Xenopus tropicalis: one gene and its partners. The protein of the gene in region 1 binds, or shares a complex with, the protein of each later gene. Links are inferred from orthologs where the notes say so. Each region holds a gene or a part of one and is shown on either strand. Other genes may lie near its edges.

The links.
Region 2: epc1 (region 1) and ing3 share a complex: the UniProt entries of both Homo sapiens proteins name them as parts of the nuA4 histone acetyltransferase complex. The link is inferred for Xenopus tropicalis from reciprocal best matches to the Homo sapiens genes EPC1 and ING3.
Region 3: epc1 (region 1) and mbtd1 share a complex: the UniProt entries of both Homo sapiens proteins name them as parts of the nuA4 histone acetyltransferase complex. The link is inferred for Xenopus tropicalis from reciprocal best matches to the Homo sapiens genes EPC1 and MBTD1.

Annotation. Positions count from the first base shown.
Region 1 is NC_030682.2:22,943,313-22,946,812, reverse strand, and holds part of epc1 (enhancer of polycomb homolog 1), read right to left. Parts: intron 3,059-3,500; coding exon 2,911-3,058; intron 2,406-2,910; coding exon 2,244-2,405; intron 1,855-2,243; coding exon 1,765-1,854; intron 1,679-1,764; coding exon 1,530-1,678; intron 29-1,529; coding exon 1-28. UniProt on the Homo sapiens protein: Component of the NuA4 histone acetyltransferase (HAT) complex, a multiprotein complex involved in transcriptional activation of select genes principally by acetylation of nucleosomal histones H4 and H2A.
Region 2 is NC_030679.2:69,340,180-69,344,399, reverse strand, and holds the start of ing3 (inhibitor of growth protein 3), read right to left. Parts: upstream 2,801-4,220; 5' UTR 2,733-2,800; coding exon 2,705-2,732; intron 2,588-2,704; coding exon 2,516-2,587; intron 2,465-2,515; exon of another isoform or gene 1,417-2,464; intron 1,307-1,416; coding exon 1,206-1,306; intron 32-1,205; coding exon 1-31. UniProt on the Homo sapiens protein: Component of the NuA4 histone acetyltransferase (HAT) complex which is involved in transcriptional activation of select genes principally by acetylation of nucleosomal histones H4 and H2A.
Region 3 is NC_030686.2:23,317,743-23,321,976, reverse strand, and holds the start of mbtd1 (MBT domain-containing protein 1), read left to right. Parts: upstream 1-1,434; 5' UTR 1,435-1,544; coding exon 1,545-1,565; intron 1,566-3,391; coding exon 3,392-3,593; intron 3,594-4,234. Other genes in the region: utp18 (U3 small nucleolar RNA-associated protein 18 homolog), read right to left, coding at 71-295. UniProt on the Homo sapiens protein: Chromatin reader component of the NuA4 histone acetyltransferase complex, a multiprotein complex involved in transcriptional activation of select genes principally by acetylation of nucleosomal histones H4 and H2A.

The DNA.
Region 1 (3,500 bases):
GTCTGAATGGGCTCTGTCAAGGAGCACCCTGTAGAAACAAAGATTGGGAAATAGAGTTTAACCCTCAAATTATAAACAGACTGAAAACAAGCTTTGATTGCATTAAAGGACATGTAAAGCCTACATTTGCCTACAATGTCTATCAGTTGGGCACATTTTCCCCACCCAAATGGCATCATTTGTACTGCATATATCCCCTCCGTTTGCCAGCACCATCACATTTTCCTAAACCAAATAGCAGCTTTCACCTGGTGGCCATTATTTCTCTGATACATTTAAATCTGCAAACAGCCTACACACACAAAAACTCTTATTCAGCATACATTTCATCAAGGATACAGGCTCACACAGGCACAAATGTCTTTGATAAAAGTTCTGCTTTGTTTGAGCACTGTAATGGTAAAGCTGAGCTCAGGAGAAAACAATTGAAGCAGACAGCTAGAGCTGAGTTTCTATAGGAAGCAGCAATGCCATCTCTTCACTGGCTGCTAGACTGGGGGGCGTGTTTAGTAATCTGAGCATGTCCACAAGCCAACAGCCAAAGCAAATTCCTGAGGGCGGGGGCTGAGTGGGTTACAGGAGGAGAAGGAAATCTAAGTGATTAAGGGGATGTTGCAGCCTTACTATTAACCTCTGGACAACCAGTGTGGCAGGTATTGAAAGATTTCAAAGAGGCTGTTCACTGATTAAATTTGTGTGTGTGGAGTTTACATGTCCTTTAATAAGAGACAGTATTAATTACACTTAAGCATTCTGTTTCTAAAAAATAGGAAATAGAGCAATATTTAAAATCTTCTTCTAAATTAAACATAGGTAGGTGCATGAAACAAAGTTTTGAAAGTATAAAATGTAAAGGGATGTGGTGCAGTTCCAGACAAAATAAATGATATATGGTGCTTCACATTCTGCCACTTGCTCTCATGCCTAGCTGGCCCAGCCTTAAAGGACAAGGAAAGGTATTTTGACATTTTACAGCAAATATTTTCGCCACATTAGTGCAAGCTAGAACGCTATATTTGTTCTGCAAAAAGCTTTACCATATCAGAGTAAACAGCCCTAGAAGCTCCCTCTGTTTTTTTTGAGATAGTAGCTGCCAATTTAGCTTGGTCTCAGTAGTTTCCGTGCTGCAGCTCCAGCTGCTGGTAGCTTAGATTACACAGCACGGTTGGGAGGGGGAGCGAGGTGCACAGACTTGTGCCCTGCTCTGAAGGATTTTTTTCCGAGAGGAAGTGAGATAGCAAAGAACAAGTTTAAACAATAAAAAAAAAAGAATTTCTGAGTTTCTTTTGATAGAAGACTCAGTGCAGCTTTTATGTGAGTGAGGTGTACTTACATGGACCTTTCTGATTAAGCTTACTTGGTTTTTACCTTTCCTTCTCCTTTAAAAGAGGAGACACACATTGGCACAACCAGATTTTTAGGTAAATTACCTCATCTGTAATTACCTGGGCCAACAAAGTATATAGCCGTCACTACGGTAACCTTACAGATGATAAAGCAGCTATAATGTATTTAACAAGATATCTTACCTTCCACCACGTCCAACCCGTCTTCGCGCAAATCCAATACACTTGCGGGGAACAGTGAGAGTAGTGAGGCAGTATCTATAGCGAATTTCTCCAAGACCTCCTTCCTCAGGACTACACCATGGCCAGTTGCCAGTTTGGTCCAAATGTGGCTTGGAATTACAAGGAGGAAAACCTTTATTATTAGTATACAACAAACACCACTTGTCTGTGTATAGGCATGAGGACTGTTACTTACAGCATAGTAATTACAGCCAGCTTTCCTACGGAAAGCAAATGGACCATCTGGATCATTTTCTTCCTCAGCCTCTGAGGAGCCAGACATGACCTGGTAAAGAAACCAGAAAAAAACACCAGTGAAGATCATGCTCAACATTTCCTATTACTCATTGCAATGACTTATTTTGACAGCTTTCCTGAACATTTGCCTTTCACTGCTTTGTGAAGATCTTATTATTTCACTAGCGGATGTAATCGGGAATGTGATGTAACACTTAATAAAACTTATGCAAGAAACCGGTGTGTGCGTACATCTTTATAGACAGACTAACATTAGGTGTGCAACAGTTTTAGGAGTGTCTAGCCAATAACTAAAACCTTACCTCAAATCTCACCTACATTACTTAGCCCCCAACAACCACTGCATGTCCCCCAAAAGGACTGTCTCAAGAGGCACAATTACACTTATTGAAGCCTGAAATAATAAAAGCAGCATACCTGGGAGAGAGGTTCATCATCAGAGCTGGGAAAGTCATACTGATTCAGATCCTTAGCATTAAACACTGGCAGTGCAGCAGGACTTGTCTGTTGAGCAGCAGGTAAGACTTTGGGCTTCTTCTCATATTTTCTTTTCGGTCGAACAGCATCAGATTTTTCTTGCTAAAATGAATTTGAATGGTCTTAAAATATGAATTCAGTTATTTAATAACTGTTACAGACATCAGTCTATAATAATCGCCATTTATAAGATAGAACTGTGCTTTGCTTATGTGAACTGCTCACAATTAATATCCTCGCTTATCACTAGTTCCACAAAATGTGCCTTCACCAGGAAACCAATACAAAACATTATATATTAGCCACTATAAAGATATATTCTCTTTATACGGAGAAATAAAAATGGTGAGTGCATAATTCTTTTTCTCTATCTTTTTATCCTGTAGCTTCGATGATGTTGTATTTAAATTGTTTCCCGTGCTGAGTGGCTGTATTCTAAGGTCACGTTTAATTTGTCACAGTAGGACAAGGCAGTTAACCAGGTCAAGTGGTTTGCATATATCTAATAAATGAAACATGTTTCCTGAATGGTCTGTAAATTCATGAACCCACAAAATCCAGTATTAAGGTAATGTTAAAAACACTATGTGAAATAAACAAATCTTACCTTATTAACTTTAATATCTATTGTTTCTTTATGTAAAAATGGAATAGGAGAAATAGGCATGAGGGGGATAGTATAGGTGGGCTTCAATGGTTGACGATGTGCCATAACCTCTGATAGAATTTCGCCATTAAAGTCCCCTAAGTTATACCTGAATAAAGAGAGAAAAAAACGGCTACTAAAATAGTGCTTAATTTAAAAAAAATAAAAAAAAAAATCAATAAAAATGGTTTCAAAAATGTATGCTAACCCTATTTTGGCTATTTTTTCCCCCAAAAAATTAAATAGTATAGTAGTAAGCATTTAATATTAACAGAAGCCACCAGATGTACACTGTACCCTACTTAAACCGTTTCAAGCTGTAATCAGGCTGAATAAAGTTGTGTTATTGCGCTGAGGTGAATTTGCCTGTGCCAACCAGTAGGTGGAGCTCCTCATCCAACATTGTGCTCATATAGCTGGTTATGTTTAAAAACCAGTTACAAATCATATTGCACAGCACTCTAGAAATAATTTAAATAAGCAAGGAACTTCAGCACAGAGTCAGGCACCTGTAGCAAAAGCAACAAGTACAGGCTAGAACTTAAATGGGG
Region 2 (4,220 bases), on another chromosome or scaffold:
CATCTGCATCTTCCAAAGCTTTGAAGTAATCCTGCAAGTAAATAATTCACACTAAGTCAAAAATTCATATGGTGTTATGTACTAAAAGGTACTAAATTTGGCCTGGGACAGTAGCACTCAGTGATAAGTCACTAGGTAGTTTTTTTTTTTTTTTTACTGATCATCTGTTTAAACGCAGACATTTTATGGGCTGCACATGGGCAACCTTTTTATTATATATGGAAGTTTAAAAATAGGTAAAATACACACAATACATATGCAAATGTATATGACAACCAAATCTCAAACTGCCATACCTTTTTGCATGAATTATTTGTACTGTTTCCCCTCCTTAAATGTTATATTCAGCATAATGAAATACCAAACAATATATTTAATAATTTAAAGTAATAATGTAAAGAGTATGCAGCTGCCATCTTGTACTGTACAGGATCTACCAATGATACCTACTTGTAAAATTAATGTACCAAAAAAATAGTAACACCAAAAATACATGCATTTAAACGTAATGTACTGTTATCCTTCACTAGTACAAAGATAAACAGGAGACAGATGTCAGTTATGGCTCGCTACTGAACAATATACTGAAACCTCTGACATATAAAACATAATGTTGCAAATAAATTTTTATTTGGAGGTGCTTCATCAACAAATTCACAATTGAAATGAATATAAGAATATATTGTCACTTTTTGATGTTACTGGTCCTTTAAGATACATATAGCTCAGAATTTACAAGCACTATATAAAGTTATATAAGCTTATTTGTTCAAGTAAATATTAATTATTACACTTGTCAAAATATAACACATAACAAAAAATAACACCATATGCAAATAAACTGCATACATTTGAAGGGGATCTAAGCCAAAAAATAATATTTTGCCAAGTAAAGAAAATGTAATTCTAAGCAACAATTTTTTGTAAACGTTCGAAAGTTTGAAGTCGAAGTCTGACTTCTTACAGAACCTTGTGCAGTTGTCAAAAAATGTCTTGGATGTTTTAATGCATAAAAAATTGAAATGATGAATAATAAATGCAGGAGAATTAAAAGTTCAGAAACGTTCTGCAACATCTCTCAAGTGCAAAATATGTCAAGAATGAATAAAGATAAATCATTCCTTGTGTAGTCAATAAATTCAAAGTTGGATACCTCTGTATAAATAGTTTGCTACAGATACAACAAATTTTCTTTTTGCACTAACCTTTTTGATAGAAGCCATTTGTTCTTCCCTCCATTCCGGTTTATTTTTCTTAGCATTCATGAAAAACTCCCCAACCCTTTGTTCTAATTGGTCCATGGCATCTGTATTACAAAGAATCAATTACAAATTTCAAGCAACAAACCTCAAATCTTCAACCTTATCTTTACTGTGAATTTTAATATTGTATGTTGGAAGTTGATTATAAATTAACCTTAAAAGTTGTATGCCGATTTCTGATACAAGCACATCTTCATACAGTCAATATTCCACTGACACTATGTGCACAGATGGTACAACCCCACCAAAACACACAACAGATTTAGCGACTGTGCATGTAATTCAGCACCTGCTTGGACACAATTGTTTTAGAACTAATACAAACAGGGGAAAAGAGTGAGTTTTTTGTATGTTTGTTGAGGCTACCAATAGATGGCTTTCCATGAGACAGTTTAAAGCTATATATGCTATATGTCAGTTTCTCTCTTTTTTGAGAAAGGCTGGCCCTCCCTAACCCATCACCCATGAGCATAAAATAAAGTATTTGCTTGCAGACCTTACACAAACTATAGGGAACACTGCACACAGCTGCAAAATAATGATGCATGACATGTAGAACATCTTGTTTTATAGCTATATATAAGTTAAATGAACCTATTTACAAGGAAGAGGAATCAGTATCTGGAGCAAAAATAAAGTTTACTTGACAGTAATCCCTGCTGAAAGGCACAGCAGATAATGGAGCAGATGAAACCTAACAAACAGGTTTAGTACAAATTGTGCAAGGACAAAGGCACACTTTATTTCAGGTCATTATGCCTTTAATGTTCAATTCATTAACTCTAACTTAGCAATTCCAAAGGGGGCTATAGCCCTGAGCTATAGAGTGTTTCCTCCATTTTGAGTTTTCAATTATAACAAAACAATATAAACTTTATTGTGATGAACCCCTAGTGATACAAAACGAGTTTCTGAATACTATGAATCTGTGGGAAACAAACAGACACACTGTAGACTGCGTTTTATTTTACAAATCAAGATGCTGAGTATCTAATATTGCCTGCTCGACGCACCGATGTACAATACTGGGCAAGCAATTGGGATTTGTTTTGGTGCTAAAAGGGCACGTGTGAGACAGCTCAGTACTTCCTCCTAGCGACCAACCACAGCACTGCACTGGATGTACATGGTGCTTTAGCTGCTGGCGCTACCTCTGCCACCGACACAACCACATGTTTCCGGGCCTGGAGTCACCAGGCCACACACATACACCCGTTAGTCGTCGGATAAAGAGCCGAAAGCCGCTCACGTACTCTGCACCTGCAAGTCCATCTCGCGCATTTCCGTGAACCTGTCGCGCAGATCCATGGGAAGCTGCTCGATCACTGCAGAGAGACAGAAGGGAGGGGGAGAGGGCGGTTAATAGGGGGTGTTGCTGATTAAAGCCGTAGCCCTCTCTGTGGCGCACTTTGCGCCGTTCATAGCACGAAAGGCAAACTCACTCTCCAGATAATCCTCCAGGTACAACATATTTTCGATTTCACGAACGCAAAGGCCTCAGCAACGGATGACTATTTTTCCCAGACAATATGGCGCCGAGTCAGGAGCTGCAGAACAGAAAAGGAGAACAGCAGCTGCTTGGCGCATGCGCTGGCTGCTCGCACTTCCGATGTCAACGCCTTTTAATGCCGCAGGGCACTATGGGGATTGTAGTATTTTTGTCAGTTTGCGCTATACTCACTTTTGTTTTTGCTTGGCCGAGGTTCTTTAGAAGAAGAGAAACTTTAGGCTGTGGGATTAGGAGTGGTTTTTATTATTGAAGAATGGATGATTATTTTAAATATACTTTAATAAAATAATATAAAACTAGGTGGTAGTTCATCGGTGTGTAAAATGGTGGAAGAAGGGAAAGAGCCAAGATTGTTTGTAGACAATGCTCAGTGGAATAGTCAATACCACATATACCTGCTTTAGTTAGTTTCATCTTGAGCCAAATAACCTACCTGTATTTTTAGTTGTGTGAGAGGAAAATAAGTTTTGGAACACATCCACCAAGACCTAAAATGCCAGGACGTTAATTCCCTGGTCAAAATGAAACCCAGGAAACTAGAGCTGCTTTGACTTTGCATTGACAAGTGTAATTTTTACTAAATGTCATGGTACAATTCCAGCCAGGTGACATCCCTTCATTTTTGTTTGCACACGGTTGGGCCCATAGAGGCCCAGACTGGCAATGTGTGGATTCTGGCAACTGCCAGAGGGGCTGCTGTAACATGCTGTAGATAGTCACTATTTAGTGGGCTTGTGGGGGGCTGTTTGGGCCTCTGTGTACCTGAAATTCTATAGCCTATTTTGAACCCTAGTCGAGGCCTGTGCCTAAATCTAATCATTTACCTATTGTTAGTGTTATTAGGGATCAAAGATAACTAGTGTTTTGAAATCACCAATATTCAAATAATTTTATATTTTTCTATAAAAAGCAACACCCTGTATATATAGCATATAGGAAGGACAGCATTTTTTTCATAGAAAATGTAGAACTTAATAAAAATAAAATCATCTGCTATTAACTCACCACACTTAAGAACTTTCACCCCATTTTCTTATCCTGGTGATCTATTTATCAGTTGGAGCATTAGTAGGAAAATCTTAAAGAGTTACTGACACCAGAATTTAAACCATCTGTCATAACATTGTATTTGGATGCTATTTATAATGGTTTCCTTAAGAGTATTTGCCCAATGCTTTTATATTACCTATCTGATCCCACTTGATCAACATAAGAAGCTATAACAGACAAGTTGAGAAGTGACAGTCAGGTCAGCAAAACAGTCAGGCTTACTAATTAATACTTATTAATGTACATTAATAGTTTGAGTAGTTTTTAATTTTCAGTATCAATTTAAAACCAGGAACTTATGGTATTTTATGGGATACAGCATGCGACAAAACAGTTACAGGCTTCTCGGTTTTATTCAAATCCCTATTCCACTTCATGCTTCTGCTCTTTAATATTAC
Region 3 (4,234 bases), on another chromosome or scaffold:
GGGGTGTAAGGTCGGAGATAGATTCACTGGTGGGGAAGCCTAACACATTGCTATTAGAGAGTACTATTACCTTTGAATGACCAATAAGCTTTTCCACAAATTCATCTTCACCCCCAAAAACTAATTCTTCTAAAATCGTATCTGTCTCTGGTTTGTCTGCCAAAGCCTTTAAATGTTTGGTCCTCAGCTCCTCCTCCTCCTTCATGTTTTGCTCTTGCTCTGGAGATTTGTCTCTTCGCCTTTTCTTATGGGAAGTCTTCTTTCTTTCATTTTCATTACCCTCGATAGAAAGCATTTCCACAGCAGAATCTGTAAAACCAGCATAAATAAAAAAACATTAAAGTTATAAAAACTCATTTTAAATTATCTAAATACAAGCCATGTTATAAATTGATACAGAGCTAATGTTTACTCAAAAAGTTCAACAAAAACATAGTAGTTTCTTAAAAAGTAACCCAAAGCACTTTCAGATTAGTCCCTGTGGCAGCACAGATTTACCACAAGTAACTAATCTCCCCTAGTATGCCATCTTCCAGTTGCTAATACAAACCAGCCATGTTATAAATTGATACAGAGCTAATGTTTACGCAAAAAGTTGCTAATAGGTAATAGTTAAAAAGTTGCCTAGGTAATTTGGACCTTAGCAACCAGATAGCTGCTAAAACTCCCAACTATATTGCTGCTAAACAAAACTAATGATATAATAATAATAATAAAAGTCATTGCAAAGGTTAACTACCAGTTCTAGCAGAATGCCCACATATGAAATACACAAAATGAGAGGTGAATGCTGGCTGCTAATCTGTATTCTTCTAAAATAATAACTGATCACTTCTGCAATAGGTGTTTTTATGAGTGAACCGTATTTTTAAGAGATACAGTAGTAACCGTATCAATCTGGCTAGTTTGCAATATACAATATACAATTCCAAAAAAAAAACCTGACGGCAAAAATAGAAATGCTTAGCAAGTAAACAGGAGGGACGTGCCTCTTGAGTCTCAACAACGTGTGCAAATGCCAATATAAAACATGCACAAGACACCGTTTTCTTTCGCAGATATAAAGCTGAACGTTCCACTCACTGTGCCCAACGCACGTGGAACTTCCGGTGACCTTTGCCCTCTACAACCCGGAAATACATGTTTCTAGCGAAAGAGACGCAGCAAGATAATTTACCTTGTACCTTTCGAGTGTACTTAAACTTGTATATCCGAAAAAGCCCTTACTGCACCGCTACGTGAAACAATCCGTTTTTAGCACTTTCCGACGTTCTAAGTACTTCCGTAATAGCTACAAGCCACCGGAAGCCACGGCACCCGAAACGTGCCAAACTAGGTTATTCGCGGAGGCACGGCTCTTACTATATAAACCCGCAGCCAATTGCTGTAGGTTTAGCGTTGCGCCTGCGCAGTAAAGTGTTTCTGGTTTTGTTGATATTTTGAAGGAGTTCATTGTTTTGCTCTTTTTTTAGTCTCTATTTTCTTGGATTGTCCCAGCCCGCTGACAGCGGGGGCTGCATACACGATTTCCTCATGAGGGACTAATGGAAAAGACCAAGGATCTGGTAAGTAAAGGGCACGGGGTGTATGGAAGTGCTGCTGCCCTGGCTCTTTTGTTGTCATTTCTGTATGCAACGAGGCCTTGTGGTTTCTGGGAAGTGAGGGTAGTTTGGGCTGGGGCCAGGGTACCGTGCGTTTGGAAACCGGACAAAATGTGTTTAACACTAAGCCTCATGTACAATAAAGTCCTTAAGAAGAGGGTATAGCAAGCCAGCAGGATATAGGCATGTTAAACTCAACACTCCAGCTCTCAGCCTGACTGCTGTTGGTATGCTTGCACTTTCTACATGTACACTCATGATGCTCAGTAAGGTAAAGGTAGGGAATTGGTACCAAAGCCCAACAGATAGGAATTATACACACCTTCCATCTCATTTGCCACTTTGTTGACTTAGTAACTATTAAAAGTAAAGTTATGCCTATGTGTTCATATATGGTGCATTCCACACAATAATTCAGCAACGCATGCATAGGAGCTCAAGTTGCTCTTGAAAGTGTATTATGTTGTGCATTAGGCAAAAAAATAGGCAGACTGATGATCAGTGTGGGAAGTAATGAAAGGCCTTTGTGTGCTATACATTTATTAGGGGAATTCATAAATATAACGTCTGTTTTACACTAATTTTGTAACCCATTGTCCCTAATCTGCAAATGCTTCTGAGCAATTAGCAGTTTAATGTTTTGGCAACCTTGCCAAACAAGTGGGTCCCATAGCTGCTTCCACAGAGTGTAATAGAAGTTCTTTGCTGTGTGTGAGTGTGTGATTTATGGTTATAAGGCACTAACCTGACACTAGGGCTGAAGGCTAAAAGACAGTCTTCAGTTTCACTGTGGAAGCAGTTTATTTTGTTTTCAATGTTGTTCTTTGAATTCTCAACTTCCAGTCTCTGCACACAGCCCTGAACCAGGCTAACAATGTGGGTTCCAGCTATCAACCCAGCCATTTGTTTGCCTCTTCTGTGTTGGTTCATTTGTATTACCTATCTGTTATTATTAGAAGCCAGAAATTGTTAGAATATGTAAAGATTTTTTTACACACTTTTAAATAGTGCATACTTATTTCATTTGTCAGAATCACATATGCTAGTCAAGGCTAAAGTCTGTGTACTGTACTAGTGCATTATTAAACCTTGACTGTTGTAGTTATGTTGTAGAGCCAGTAATTCCACAAATCAGTAGTTCAAAATGATGCTGGGTTTTGTCGCTTTCTTTATGGGAATTGAGATTGGCATTGTCACCTGGTAATTAAGAAGATGCTTGATGCCAATAGGGAAGAAAGGATGGGTTTTATTTTATTCTTTTATCCTGTTTTATTCAGTGAGATGTTCATGTAGAAATCTTTGTGTTTGTATCCAGTAATGTTGCCTTAAGGTTGCTTATGTAGCTAAACTAGTCAAACTAGAAAGGCAACCAGTTCTTGCAGAGAAGGGGAGGATCCTAGACCAACCTACCTTTTCTGAAGAACAAAATCGGCATATTCACATGGGATTTTTTTATTGTAATTATCGCAATGAAAGCAAAAACAAGTTGCTATGGTTTCTGTGCTAGAGCGATATTTTGCTTCTTCTGCTTCCCATCAATCTCCATTAAACATTCATTGCACAGAGCCATTCCAGAATTACTCAACCCAGTATGAGTGTCTTTTTCCTATAATATATGTAAGAAAATACAGGTTTGCATTTTGGCCCCTGCTGAAGTCTTTCCAGTGAAGGAAAGGTTGCTTGGGGCAGAGAATATAGCAACTAGAAATCCATCTAGAAGTTGGGTTTGGTAACAGCAACCAAAGCTATAAAGTCAATTGAAATTCCTTTTTTCTTTTATACATGTTTAGGCTGATCTTTCTTCACTTTCTGAGAGAAAACGTCGGGACTCATTCGGAATGTTTGACGGATATGATAGCTGCAGTGAGGACACCAGCAGCAGTTCCAGCTCGGATGAGAGTGAAGAGGAAGTCGCCCCCTTGCCATCCAGTCTGCCCATTATCAAAAACAATGGGCAGGTTTACACATACCCAGATGGCAAATCAGGAATGGGTATGTAAAGTGATTTTATGTTCAAAGAAAAAGGGATATGTGCAAATGATGAGCCATTTCTCTCAATGTGCTCTAGTTGAAGGAACAGTGTTGCCCTGCACTGGTAAAAGTTGTCTGTTGTTGCAGAAACGCTTCTGCAGTTTATTTAAACAAAGCTGCTGTGTAGCCATGGGGGTAGCTATTCAAATTGAAACAGGGCTAAATGGCACAGGTTACATTGCTATAACAGTTAAGCTCTGTAAAACACCATTGTATCTTACAGACCTCATCTGCTGTGCATTTTCTCAATTGCTCAGCTTGAATTGCTTCCCCCGTGGCTATACAATTGCAAACACACAACTTTTACCAGTGCAGGACAACAGCACATTATATTTTAATTACTTTAAAACACTTTTTAAATTGTTGATGTTTCTTTAAAGCAAGTTGTAAAATTGCAGTAACAACAAAGCAAACTTTGCTTCTCTCTGCACGTACTTTTAATACTTACTGGAAAATCAATGTAAATAATTATTGTGAAAACATTTTCACAGGGAAAATTATTTTATCAAGTTCAGATTTTTCTTTCTTTTCTGTACACAAAAGGAAGATGTATTACTCAGTGTTGTGTGCACTGCAGAGCTATTGGCTTTCTTTTTTAATGT